Linked DNA regions of Anolis sagrei. The protein of the gene in region 2 purifies or fractionates together with the protein of the main gene of each other region. This does not show direct contact. Links are inferred from orthologs where the notes say so. Each region holds a gene or a part of one and is shown on either strand. Other genes may lie near its edges.

Region 1 (7,348 bases), on a different chromosome or scaffold from region 2:
AAGTTCCTATACAGTAAGAAGAATTCAAACAGCAAAAAGGCAAGGAAATTCAAAACTTCTACTCAGTTTGGTACCATGTATATTTGTTTCAAAACTTATCTAAACTCCACTGAAATCTATGGAACTTACCACAGATATATATAGTAAATGAAAGGCCAGAGGTTGACCATAGGGTCAAAGAAAAATGGTCCCATGCTAAAGAAAAAAATGTTCTGAAACGAAGAAATAATTGAAACTATTGAATTATTAGGATTTTTTTTAAAAGTCAGATGAAGATTAGCAGAGCCTATTGATCCTACCATTGGCTAAATGGCTCTTTTATTAATAACAATGTAAGAAAGAAGTTTAACATTAATAATTTTGACTGCTGCTTGCTTGTTGGTTTTATATTACAACTTAATGACTGACATTTCATGATTAGCAAATATATCTTCAATATCATCATAATTTGCTGTGTCGTTGCTAGGTAGATCTCCAAAACTGATATAAATAGTAAGGTATATATTTGCTCTGGTCATTATAATCATAGGCTATCACTTATGGGTATGATTGTCTTTCAAGGGTAGTTTTGGCAGAGTCCATAAGTAACTGTAGAGACCTACTCTGGATCCCTATGGTCTTTAACAGTGAGAACATACATTTCTAGGTGGAAGGCAGTCATAACAAGGGTTTCCTTGATGCACCTTCCTCTTGGCACGTTTCTCCCTTTCGCTGATTATTTGTGCCTCTTTCAAATCCATAGCACTGGTGCTAACAGCTGATCTCCAGTTAGAATGCTTGAGGGCAGGAATGCCTAGTTCTCAGTGTTTATTCCACATTTTAGATGAGCTTTAAACCCATCTTTAAATCTCTTTTGCTGTCCACCAACATTCTGTTTTTCACTCTTGAGCTGAGAGTAAAGTAATTGCTTTGAGAGATAGTGATTGGGCATTCAGACAATATGGCCAGCCTAGCAAAATTAATGGTTGATGATCATCACTTCAATGAGCCCCCTGTGGCGCAGTGGGTTAAACCCCTGTGCCGGCAGGACTGAAGACTGACAGGTCGCAGGTTCAAATCCGGGGAGAGGCGGATGAGCTCCCTCTATCAACTCCAGCTCCTCATGCGGGGACATGAGAGAAGCCTCCCACAAGGATGATAAAAACATCAAATCATCCGGGCATCCCCTGGGCAACGTCCTTGCAGACGGCCAATTCTCTCACACCAGAAATGACTTGCAGTTTCTCAAGTCGCTCCTGACAAGACAAAAAAGAAATCACTTCAATGCTGATGGTAAGGAATATGTTTGCTCTGCTGCCAGACTGCTCAAATTAAATGTTTACATATCTCCACCACTGTCATTTAAATTGCTCTCATTTACATTGCTGTACTCCATTCCTTGAATCTAAAATTAGGCACATTTTCTCCTTCAATGGCTGCGCCTACAACACCCTTCCATGCAGTCAATTTATGAAGCCCCCAGCTTCACAAGTCTTTGGATATTTTAGGACCACTTCTGCTCCCCAGATCTCAATGCTGGGAATCAACAACTCCTCCATTTCATTTGTGCACAAGCAGATGAAAAATGGGTGATACAAGGAAAGAGAGAGCCACACAATCCACGGAAGTCATAAGTACCAAGACCATAAATCTTGGCCCATCGTTGGCTCTAGCCTGCCTACTACTGACAGTTGGCCTCAATTGACTTTTCCAGCACTTCTGAGGGAAAAGGTTAAGAATGGAAGAAAAGCCATATTAGATAAGAGCAATGATGGATCAGAGCCAAGTATTTATCTAGTCTATCATTCTGTTCATGCAATGACTAATCAAACTGCCCACAGAAGGCAGCAAACAGGACATAAATCAAAATGCACCCATATGTTTATGCTCCTCAGCTACTGATATACTGAGGTATACTGTTGTTGGTGCTAGAATGTATAGCTATCCTCATTAGTAATGTAGTTAAAAGTTTAACTATACATTGTGAGATGAAGTACTTTCTTTTAAGTTCCCAAACCACTCACACACAGTGGACATTGGACATTTTATTTACAGACATTTTATTGGACATTTTATTTACTGCCTAATGTCCTAGTCCCCACATAGAATATTATTATTTTTAAAATAGCAGGTGCACCCTGGGCTATTTTCATTAAATTATCACAATCCTATATGACACAGGAGTATATAGGTTTTGGCTGAACTAAAATGCCAATACCTCCCATTGCTCGCTTTGCACCCATCCTACAGCATGAGAGAAGCTAAGAAAGAGGAAGGAGACAGGGAGAACTTTTCTGCATTCATTTTGGAAAATCTGCTGAAAGCCACAATATTTTTGCCTTCTGTAAGATAAAAACTTCAACAGGAAAAGTCATCAGGCATTTTTGCTGCATCCAAACATGGCTCAGTCTTATTTTCAGAGAGCGCCTCACATATGTAAAAATTATCTTACTTCAAGGGCCTGAAGGAAAAAATCTGAGTTCTCTGGAGACTTGATGAACTTCACAAGATATGGTTCCTTGTTATTTTTCATCATTTAACTAATGAGGAAAGAAGAAAGAGAAGATGTAACATTATATAGGCAAAGGAAACATTAACAAAAAGCCTATTTGTGTATTTATTTATTTACTATATTTGTATACTGCCCCTCTCAGCCCAAAGATGACTCGAGGAGGTTTACTTTTGGCAATCAATGCCCCACAAGATAAAATACATTCAAAAACAATTACATATAAAATAGCCATGTAAAAACAATAAACAATTAACACCATAAAATACAATTCTCAGCGTCTCATTAAAATCATTTTCCGTCACATCGTCTTGTCATTCCATGAGTATCAATCAAAGAGTTATACTGCGTCTGCAAATGCCTGCTCGAATAGGCAGGTTTTCTCTTTTTCGAAATGTCAGGAGGGAGAGGGCCAATCTAATATCCCTAGGAAGGGTGTTCCATAGCCGAGGAGCCACCGCTGAGAAGGCCCTGTCTCTTGTTCCCGCCAACTGGATCTGTGAGGAAGGCGGGACCAAGAGCAGGGCCTCTTCAGAAGATCAACTACAACTCCCAAATTACAAAATCAATCCTCGCCCAACCCCACTAGCATTCACATTTGGGTGTATTGGGTATTTGTGCCCAGTTTGGTCCAGTGAATGAAAATGCATCCTGCATATCAGATATTTACATTATGATTTGTAACAGTAGTAAAATGACTGTTATGAAGTAGCAATGAAAACAATATTATGGTTGGGGGTCACCACAACATGGGGGACTGTATTAAGGGGTCACGCCATTAGGAAGGTTGAGAACCACTGATCTAAGGGAAAATGAAACTAAAATAACTATCTCAGGCTATTAAATAGGAACAAATTTTGTGGAGCTCAGCTGTCAGTTTCATAAGAAATGTACAGCTATAAATGTTATGGCTTAAGCAGCTGAGGGGGAAAAGGGAAGGGGCCTGAGGCTGTTAGGAATGCTGGGAGTTGAAGTCCAAAACACCCAGAGGGCCAAAGTTTGCCCAGGCCTATTTAGATGGATTAGGAATCAGCTGGTTTTCCTGTAATAGGTAAAAGTTGGAGGTCTTCCTGGCTGAGGCCCCTGAGGAGCTGTAGTATTTCTCAGGCGGAGGAGGCCCCTCTCATTTCTGGGCCCAAAGAGAGAGAGAGAGCGAGGAAGGATACAGGTTCCCCTTGCCTTCCTCCGGGATTACCTCAGCAGCACGTCCTCGGCCTGAGGAAGCGACCCCCTCTCCCCTTCTCACCAACAACTCTCTTCTTCCAAAGGCTGGCGGGAAAAGACTCCTGGACGGAGGGCGCATGCGCCAGGGACGGCTCGTGACGTCGCCGGCCTACAAACATGGCAAAGTTTCCCTTAAAGGGGCAAGGTACGGAAAGGCAGAGGCGATTGGTTGAGAAGGATAGTAAGCGTGGCCCCTTTAAATATTGTTTGTGGGCGAAGGGATAGGGTGGTTTTGTTGTTTGAGTTTTCTTCCGGCGCTTGTGCGACCACCGGTATTGTGAAAAGTAGCTTGCCAAAGAGAGGGTGTCGCTTCCTTTGGGGAAGTTTCAGAGAGGAAATCCTGGTGCTATCAACACTGCCAAACAGTGCAGTGTGAAACCGCGTTGGATGGTCAGTGTAGACTCATATAATGTAGTGAAAGGACCAAGGCAGAGACATCTCCAGCTCATCCCCTGTTTGAGTATCAGCCAGCACGTCAACGACTTAAATCTAGACATAGTTTTCTAAGATCTACAGCAGTGGTTTTCAACCTGTGGGTCCCCAGATGTTTTGGCCTTCAACTCCCAGAGATCCTAACAACTGGTAAACTGACTGAGATTTCTGGGAGTTGTAGGCCAAAACACCTGGGGACCCACAGGTTGAGAACCACTGAAGAAACACTTGCTGGAACACCTCAGTAAGCAAGAGTCCAAAAGTGGCAGGCTCAAACCCAGAACCTCAATCAATGGCTGATACCAAATGAGAGACTCCCCCCTGGGCACACAGAGGACTGGGCGACTTGGAAGGGGCTGAACAGACTACACTCTGGCACCACAAGATGCAGAGCCAACCTCAAGAAATGGGGCCACAAAGTGGAATCCACGACATGCGAGTGTGGAGAAGAGCAAACCACTGACCACCTGCTGCAATGCACCCTGAGCCCTGCCACATGCACAATGGATGACCTCCTTGCAGCAACACCAGAAGCACTCCAAGTGGCCAGATACTGGTCAAAGGACATTTAATCAACTACCAAACTCACAAATTTTGTATTTTGCCTGTTTGTTTGCTTTGTTCTGTTAGAAATGTAATATAATTGACTGGTTGCCCTGACATGACAAATAAATAAATGTAGTTTAATATAGATTCACCTTGTCTCCTGTGCTATGTTAATAATATAATATAATATAAAATAATATATCGTATATATACATATAATATCTATAATATTATAATGTAATGCAATATAACACTACTAATAATATGATATTATAAATATATATTTGTATTACATGTAATATTAATAATAATGTTACAATGTAATGGTTTAATACAATATAGTAATAATTAATACTGATATTGTACTATGCTAATAAAATAGATTTTATGCTTGTGGGTAAACAGCACTTCTTGCTGTTTCTTTGTCAGTGTTGATGTGGAGAGTGTCTGGTTTGCCCACTCTGGAACATGCAAAATATCATTGTCCTTCTTTAAGGGTCCCTTTCAAATCTAGGATACTATATATCTCTCTGTGTGTGAATCATATAAAAAGGTAAAGGTAGTCCCCTGCCATTAAGTCCAGTCATGTCTGACTCTGGGGTGTGGTGCTCATCTCCATTTCTAAGCTGAAGAGCCGGCATTGTCCATAGACACCTCCAAGGTCATGTGGCCGGCATGACTGCATGGAGCGCCGTTACCTTCCCGCCGGAGTGGTACCTATTGATCTACTCACATTTGCATGTTTTTGAACTGCTAGGTTGGCAGAAGCTAGGGCTGACAGCGGAAGCTCACGCCGCTCCCCGGAATCGAACCTGCGACCTTTCGATCAACAAGCTCAGCAGCTCAGTGCTTTAACCCACTGCGCAACCGGGGGCTCCGTGAATCATATATATCTATCTATATCTATGGCTGGATGGCTCTTTGTCAGGAGGGCTTTGATTATGTTTTCTTGCCCTGGTGAAGGGAGTTGGACTGGATGGCCATAAGTATTTTCTGTTGCTCATGGAGGTTCTGTGTGGGAGGTTTGGCCCAATTCTGTCCTTGGTGGGCTTCAGCATGCTCTTTGATTGTAGGTGAACTATAAATCCCAGTAACTACAACTCCCAAATGTCAGGGTTTATTTCCCCCAAACTCCATCTGTGTTCGTATTTGGTCATATGGAATATCCGTGCCAAGTTTGGTCCAGATCCATCCTTGTTTGAGCCCAAAGTGCTCTCTGGATGTAGGTGAACTACAACTCCCAAACTCAAGGGCAATGCCCACCAAACCCTTCTAGTGTTTTCTGTTGGTCATGGGAGTCCCGTGCATCATGTTTGGTTCAATTCCATCATAGGTGGAATTCAGAATACTCTTTGATTGTAGGTGAACTATAAATCCCAGCAACTACAACTCCCAAAAGACAAAATCAAAAAATATTTGAGTGAAGGACATACATTGGGTTGTTAGGTATATGTTGTCCAAATTTGGTGTCAATTCGTCCAGTGGTTTTTGAATTATGTTAATCCCACAAACGAACATTACATTTTTATTTGTATAGATTCCCAACTCTAAACCACTTATCACACAGAGGTTCCTGATACCCGTGCAATCTGGCATACTTAATCTCCTCTATAGAATCTATTCAATGACCAGTTTCATCAAATCTATGAAGCAAAAATCGTATAGCACTTAAATTTCCTAACAGGAAAACTAGAAAGTGAGTTAATGCTGTTTTTGTTCTCCCTCCTTTCACAAATCCAGTCTGCAATATAGTTCCTGTTTGTTCTGTAGAGGGAACAATTTTTGAAATAGCTATGAGATGCAAAACCAAATTTGTGGGGAAAGTTTCTCTTCCGAAATATCAGGTCTCTATTTGATTTTCATCTGTGCGCATTCGATGTAATTTTCCAAATCCCCACCAGAAGCTGATAGAGAACAAATGAATGTTCCGAGTTGCTTTCATAGTTGGTAGGTGATCTATTCAGCTCCCGACACTTCATCACATTCAGGAGGAGTTATATAACTCTTACCATTCAGTCATAAATATTCAGAGATGCAGGCTTCATTAGAAGATAGACAAACATTAAACCAGGGGACCTCAAACTAAGGCCCGGGGGCCGGATACGGCCCTCAAAGGTCATTTACCCGGCCCTCACTCAGGGTCAACCTAAGTATGAAATGACTTGAAAGCACACAACAACAACAAAAGCAGACCCACACTTCCCATTGAAATAATAAGTTTATATTTGTTGTTAAAAATTGTTCTTCATTTTAATTATTGTATTGTTTTAAAGTGGGTTTTTTTTTTCCTCAGAAGAAATAAGATATGTGCAGTGTGCATAGGAATTCATTCATGTTTTTTTTTTCAAATTATAATCTGGACCTCTAACAGTTTGAGGACCCCTGCATTAAACAATTGCTCTTGACCAGTGGTTCCCAACCTTTTTTGTTTTGTTTTGTTTTGTTTTGTTTTGTTTTTAGCAGGGACCACTTTGACCAGGGACAAGACTCCAACATTATTACCAAAAGGGTTACAAATCAGTTTTTGGCCAACTTTAGATTCAGTTTGTTTATTTGGGATGCCGATTTAGAAAATTGCATTGGATAGACCACATGCATTGGATAGACTGCATGACTCCATGCAGTCATGCTGGCCACATGACCTTGGAGGTGTCTACG
Region 2 (7,348 bases):
CGACCTTTTGTAAAGGCGCTCAAGACTTGGCTGTTTGGTTGTGCATTTAAGTAATCAGATCTAATTTGCCAAATAGTCACTGTTGAATGTTTTTATGTTGAATGTTTTTATATTGTGTAAATGCTATTTTAGATTGTAAGTCGCTCGGAGCACCTTGGTGGAGAGCGACTAATTAAGAAATAAAGTGAAGTGAAGTGAAGTGAAGTGAAGTTCAAAGCAGATATTATGGGATTTCCTTCCTTGATATTCTAGATTATATGGCTGTGTGTTAAAATTGCTGGAAGAAACATTAACAACCTTAGATATGCAAATGATACCACTTTGATGGCCAAAAGTGAGGAGAAACTGAGGAGCTTTCTAATCAAGGTGAAAGAAGAAAGTGCAAAAGCTGAGTTGCAGTTAAATATATAGGAAAACAAGATTATGGCAACAAGAATGATTGATAACTGGCAAATAGAGGGAGAAAACGTGGAGGCCGTGACAGACTTTGTATTTCTAGGTGCAAAGATTACTGCAGATGCACACTGTGGCCAGGAAATCAGAAGACGCTTACTTCTTGGGAGGAGAGCAATGTCCAATCTCGATAAAATAGTAAAGAGTAGAGACATCACACTGGCAACAAAGATCCACCTAGTCAAAGCCATGGTATTCCCTGTAGTAACCTACGGATGTGAGAGCTGGACCTTAGGGAAGGCTGAGCGAAGGAAGATAGATGCTTTGAACTGTGGTGCTGGAGGAAAGTTCTGAGAGTGCCTTGGACTGCGAAAAGATCAAACTAGTCCATACTTCAGGAAATAAAGCCCGACTGCGCATTGGAGGGAAGGATAGTAGAGGCAAAGATGAAATACTCTGACCACATTATGAGAAGAAAGGAAAGCTTAGAGAAGACAATGATGCTGGGGAAAATGGAAGGAAAAAGGAAGAGGGGCCGACTAAGGACAAGACGGAGCGATCATATCTAGAAGTGACTGGATTGACCTTGAAGAAGCTGGGGGTGGTGACGGCCAACAGGGAACTCTGGTGCGGGCTGGTTCATGAGGTCACAAAGAGTCGAAAGCAACTGAACGAATAAACAACAGTGGCTGTGTGGAAGGGCCCTGAGTCCACACTGCCATATATCTCAGTTCGAAGCAGATATTGTGGGATTTCCTTCCTTGATTTTCTGGATATTTTTTTGTCGTGTCAGGAGTGACTTGAGAAACTGCAAGTCGTTTCTGGTGTGAGAGAATTGGCCGTCTGCAAGGATGTTGCACAGGGGACGCCCAGATGATTTGATGTTTTTATCATCCTTGTGAGAGGCTTCTCTCATGTCCCCGCATGAGGAGATGGAGCTGATAGAGGGAGCTCATCCACCTCTCCCCAGATTCGAACCTGCGACCTGTCGGTCTTCAGTCCTGCCAGCACAGGGGTTTTACCCACTGCGCCACCGGGTGCTTTGGTGCTATATTCTGGATTATACGGCTGTGTGGAAAGGCTCTGAGTCCACACTGCCATATATCTCAGTTCGAAGCAGATATTGTGGGATTTCCTTCCTTGATATTCTGGATTATGTGGTTGTGTGGAAAGGCCCTGAGTCCACACTGCCATATATCTCAGTTCAAAGCAGATACTATGGGATTTCCTGCCTTGATATTCTGGATTGTGTGGCTGTGTGGAAAGGTCCTGAGTCCACACTGCCATATATCTCAGTTCAAAGTAGATATGGGATTTCCTGCCTTGATATTCTGTTTATATGGCTGTTTGGAAGGGTCCTGGATTCAATAGCACCTAAACTGCAGAACAGAGGGACACTGTTATAGCTCTATGTTCTACTGTAGTTGCCACGGCAACATTCTGTGGCATTCTGGGTTTGGTAGTTCAGTGAGACCCGAAACCTCTTTGGCTGAGCGGGCTAACTATCCCTCGCTTAAACTCAAAATCCCAGCGTCCCACGCGGTGTTGCCATGGCGATGAAAGCGGAAACTAGTCCTGTCACAGCTTAAAGGGATAGAAGAGGACCTGCAATTGAATATGTTGTTACAATTTAGTCAATGAGTGAGATAACGCGATAGTTGAAACAGAACTTCCTCTATTAATATTAATTTAAAAGAAGGCGGCATCGTGTTTTCATAGCAATCTCTTTTGAAATTGGTCGTGAGAGAGAGAGAAAGAGAGAGGGAGGGGGAAGGGCAAAACGCCTTTGTGGGAAGTTTGGCGCCTGTCAGCTCCCGTCCAGAGGGCGGCTTCCCTGCCTAGAAGAGGAAAAGGAGGCGGGAAACGGCACTGAGTCGAAGTGAGGATGGGCGACCAGGGGCTGGAGATGGCCTCCGTGATTCCTGCCCTCCGGGAACTGGGCAGGTAAGCCCCAAACCCTCCAAAACCACCCAAAGAACAGTAGCAACAGTTGCACCTTTGCTGTTGGGTGGTTCAGGGTACACAGTGTGGAAAAATAGAACATTATATGTGACACAGCTGTGGAGGCTTTTAAACAGAGGCTGGATGACCATCTGTCGGGGGTGCTTTGAATACAGTTTTCCTGCTTCTTGGCAGGAGGTTGGACGGGATGGCCCATGAGGTCTCTTCCAACTTTATGATTCTATGGTTTTTGTTCCTGGGTTATAAATGTAATTTCCTAATTCCTAATCAGGAAAACATGGGGAAGCTGCTTAAAATGCAAAAACCATCTCTTTATCTATATAAATAAAAATGTAATGTTGCTTTGTGGGATTAACATAACTCAAAAACCACTGGACGAATTGCTGCCAAATTTGGCCACAAGACACCTACTAACCCAAGGAGTGAGCAACACTAAAAAAATTGATTTTGTCATTTGGGAGTTGTAATTGCTGGGATTTATAGTTCACCTACAATCAAAGAGCATTCCGAACTCCACCAATGATGGAATTGAACCAAACAAGGCATAGAGGACTCCCATAACCATCAGAAAACACTAGAAGGGTTTGTGGGCATTGACCTTGAGTTTGGGAGTTGTAGTTCACCTACATCCAGAGAGCACTGTGGACTAAAACAATGAAGGATCTGGACCAAACTTGGCACGGATATTCCATGTGCCCAAGTAGGAACACAGATGGAGTTTGGGAGAAATAGACTGTGACATTTGGGAGTTGTAGTTACTGGGATTTATAGTTCACCTACAATCAAAGCATTTTGAACCCCACCAACGATAGAATTGGGCCAAACTTACCTCACAGAATCCCCATGACCAACAGAAAATATTTAAGGCCATTCAGTCCAACTCCCTTCACCAGAGCAAGAAAACGTTTTCAAAGCCCTCCTGACAAAGAGCCATCTAGCCATAGATATAGATAGATAGATATGATTCACACACATATAGTATCATAGATTTCAAAGAGACTCCTAAAAAAGGAAAATTATATGTTGTATGATCCAGAGTAGGCAAAACAGACAATCTCCACATCAACACTGACAAAGAAACAGCAAGAAATACTGTTTACCCACAAGTATAAAAAATTACATATATTAGAAACCAACACTTCCTCATTACTTTATTATCCAGATCACCAGACTGAGCCACAGCAACGCATGACAGGGAATGGCTAGTTTACTATATTTATCTACCGCCCCTCTCAGGGAAGTTTACAATCAGCATCAAAAACATAAAATACGATTTAATCAATTAGCTTAAATATAAAACCAAATAAAACAGTCAATGTCAACAAAAACATATATCAATTAGAGTCTCCTTGTTTTTGCGGGACATACTGCAGCACATCTTGCTAGAGTTTTTAAAATGAATATCTCATAGAGTCTCAACCAATGCAACATAGTTTGTGGCAGCCACAAAAATGAAGTTTCTGGAGTATAGCGACAACTTTCAACAGGCGTGGGCAAACTTGGGTCCTCCAAGTTTGTTGACCTTCAACTCCCACAATTCCTAACAGCCTCAGACCCCTTCCTTTCTCCCTCAACTGCTTAATTAAGGAATTGTGGGAGTTGAAGTCCAAAACACCTGGAGGGCCCAAGTTTGCCCATGCCTGACTTTCAAAGTAAGTAGCACACAATTAAACAAGAAATAATGCTTTTAAACCAGAAACTGATTTTTTTTCTATTTTGTTACATAGTGTTGTTATTGTTTATTTATACCCCACTTTTTCTCTCCGCAAAAGAGACTCCCCTTAGCTCAGTATTGGGGTCACGATTTCTAGATGCCACTTAGATATGTACACAAATCTGTTTGCGACAACATATGGTGTTTTACTGTGTAGAAAATGCTTCAGCCTTGCTTCACGAAAAAGGAAAATTTGTCTCCTTAGCAAGCCTTGCAAATCCTGTAAATGTTCGGTATTTATGCTTGTTTTACATACTTGAGGGTATGTTGTTGCTGCTTTTATTTGTATCCTGCTTATCTCACTAAAAAAGAGACCCAAAGTGTCTAACATTAAACGCAATACAATGTATAATTTAAAACATAGAAAGCATACAAACATTAAAATACAATTAAACATTGTAACTATTAAAATAGTTAAAACCATTAGAACCTATTCACATAATATTTCCATTTGGCTATTTGAGGGAAAAGGCAGTTGGAAGCATAGCTGAAGTGGCATTCCCATCTGTAAGAAAGGTTTCTAAGCAAGACGCACAACAACAGTATTAAAACAATTATGCATAACCTACAGATGAAAAGTTGCTTCATAATGTGCTGCTATCTGTTAGCCAGTATATGTGCATGGTTGTGATTGATGAAAATCAAATTGTAAAGCTGCAAACGATGAAATGTAAATGGTCATTTACAAATTAATGCTGATGACATAGACATCCCCACTGCATTACTGGTAATGTAGTGGGGATGTGAAGTGAAACCCATAGTTTTAATTAAAGCCACAATTGATGGAAATGAATGGCTAGATAACTTGTGACATTCAGAGTAACATATGAAAGTAGAGAGACAATGCTAATTGTTAAATACATTAATTCCAGTGCCACCCCAGAGGAATACAATACTGTTGTGCAGAAACCAAGACAAATTCTCTGTCAGTTCATTGATCGAATTCTAGTGGATGTAGATGTTGGTAAGTAAAACAAAACTGTTAAAGAGGCTAGATTTTGAAAAGTTACTTTGTTGTACAGTGTCCAGTGTATAAATTTTGACAAGGTAGCAAATTCTAAATCCTAGGCAATATAGAATATCTAAAAAGTTTATTGAAAAGTAATAATGTGATGGGGAAAGTAAAAGCAAAGATACTTGGGAGGAGAATAGAGGCAGATTTCACCCAGTGCAGGAATCATTCATCTCTTAGAGGTTCTTGGGCTGCAATTCTCAGTTTTTCCTATCATCAGCTATGATGATTAGACCTACTTTGCTGATTAGAACTGCTGGGATTTGCAATCAAGTAACATCTGGAAGACCATCCTGTTCTAGTATGAAAAAAAACCCCAGATTCTGCTGGGTATTATAAATAGTAATATACCAAAAATATCCTTGTCTGGATATTTCGGTCTTTTTCACTGATTACCAAGTAGATGAGACTTTCAAAGGGGAACAGATGCATAGGTCTGCTTTTAAGTCTGTCACCAGTAGTTTGATTCAGGGAAATGCTATCTTAGCACACAATATATATTAAGAGGCATGTTTTCACAAAATGGTATGTATGTATGTGTGATATCAATTTGTTAAAATTTTCCCCAAAATAACACTTCTGGCTTCAGAAGCAACAGATGACACCATTGTTTTTAACAGCAATTTGTGAAGTTAGTCTGTTCGGCCATAACAACAGAGTAGTGAGCATACTTTGGATGCATCTACTCTATAGAATTAATAAATGTTGATAAAACTTTAACAGCCATGGCTCAATACTATAGAATCTTGGATATTGTAGTTTGGTGAGGGACCAGCCCTCTTTGTGAGAGCAGGCCTTGTAAAATTACATCTTCCAGGATCCTAAAGCATTGAGCCATGGCATTTAAAATGGTATCAAATTGCATTGATTCCAAAGTATAGATGCACCCTTTACCTCAGCATCAGAAAGATTTATTCTAGTATCAGCTTTTGTCATTTAGTATCTATTTCAGACGTATGGAGTAAAGGTTCAAGCCGCACACACACACTGGCACACAAAGTATGTCCTTGGCAAGAGAGGAATCAGCAAAATTGGATGTGAACTATCCCAACAGTATTCAAGCATTCTGGCAATAAATTAAAGTAAATGATAGATGATAAGCATGTGTTAATTTACGTATATCTCTGCTAGGCGATTTATTACCTCTTGTGTGGAAAAACATGGTGTTTAACATGTATGAAAAGTGTGAATTTCATTTTCATTGTTTTGCACTTTTACTGAAGAAATGATAGATTTATTTTGAAAAGGAGAATAATATGTGAAATTAGCATAAAGAAACGTGACTGTTTATTTTTCAGTTGCTCTAGAACTTGCTAAGAAAACTGACTCACAGCCAAGTTCTGTAATGTTGCTTGATTTTATACTGCATATTATGAAATCATCCCCGCTTGTATTTGTAAATGTGACTGGAACTTATCAGCAAAATGAAGCAGAAGCCAGCTGCATTGGTGAGTTCATTCAAATATATCTTTGGTATTTTTTTAAATCGGCAAACCAAAAATGATGTTGTAGTAATTTTATAATGGAATAGATTTATGGATTAAAGGAGGTAATAGTGTAATTGATACAGAGAAAGAAAACTAGTGCTACTACTTTAGATTAATGAAGTTTTATTACTGCTCCAGGGAATAGAATACAAAACAGTGGATTCAAATTATAAGAAAAGAGATTCTGTCTGAAATTATAAAGATGTTATTATTATCATCATCATCATCATCAGAGCCATTGGACAGTGCCATAGATGGTCTTGGAGGGTGGCAGACTTGTCTATCTTTGGACATCTTTGAACATGAGTTGAATGGGTGTTTTCAGGGTATTTTAGTTCTGTATTCTTATATGACAAGGATAATGGACAAGATTGCCCTTGCAGCCCCTTCCAATTATTTGGTTTTGTAGTTTGATATCTAAAGGCCTGGGTCACCTGTTGGCGCAGCAGGTTAAACCGCTGAGCTGCTGAACTTGCTGGCCAAAAGGTTGGTGGTTCGAATTCCCGCTGTTAGCTCCAGCCTCTGCCAACCTAGCAGTTTAAAAACATGCAAATGTGGGTATTATTTATTTATTTATTGTCATGTCAGGAGCGACTTGAGAAACTGCAAGTTGCTTCTGGTGTGAGAGAATTTGCCGTCTGCAAGGACGTTGCCCAGGGGATGCCCGGATGATTTGATGTTTTTATCATCCTTGTGAGAGGCTTCTCTCATGTCCCCGCATGAGGAGCTGGAGCTGATAGAGGGAGCTCATCCGCCTCTCCCCGGATTCGAACTTGCAAC

The links.
Region 1: the proteins of ATR (region 2) and TOPBP1 purify together in Homo sapiens (affinity purification with western blotting; 8 studies listed by BioGRID). This does not show direct contact. The link is inferred for Anolis sagrei from reciprocal best matches to the Homo sapiens genes ATR and TOPBP1.

Annotation. Positions count from the first base shown.
Region 1 is NC_090026.1:78,152,323-78,159,670, reverse strand, and holds the start of TOPBP1 (DNA topoisomerase 2-binding protein 1), read right to left. Parts: upstream 3,786-7,348; 5' UTR 3,684-3,785; intron 2,520-3,683; 5' UTR 2,516-2,519; coding exon 2,432-2,515; intron 1-2,431. UniProt on the Homo sapiens protein: Scaffold protein that acts as a key protein-protein adapter in DNA replication and DNA repair. Composed of multiple BRCT domains, which specifically recognize and bind phosphorylated proteins, bringing proteins together into functional combinations.
Region 2 is NC_090023.1:237,161,331-237,168,678, reverse strand, and holds the start of ATR (serine/threonine-protein kinase ATR), read left to right. Parts: upstream 1-1,989; 5' UTR 1,990-2,278; coding exon 2,279-2,337; intron 2,338-4,941; coding exon 4,942-5,033; intron 5,034-6,379; coding exon 6,380-6,529; intron 6,530-7,348. UniProt on the Homo sapiens protein: Serine/threonine protein kinase which activates checkpoint signaling upon genotoxic stresses such as ionizing radiation (IR), ultraviolet light (UV), or DNA replication stalling, thereby acting as a DNA damage sensor.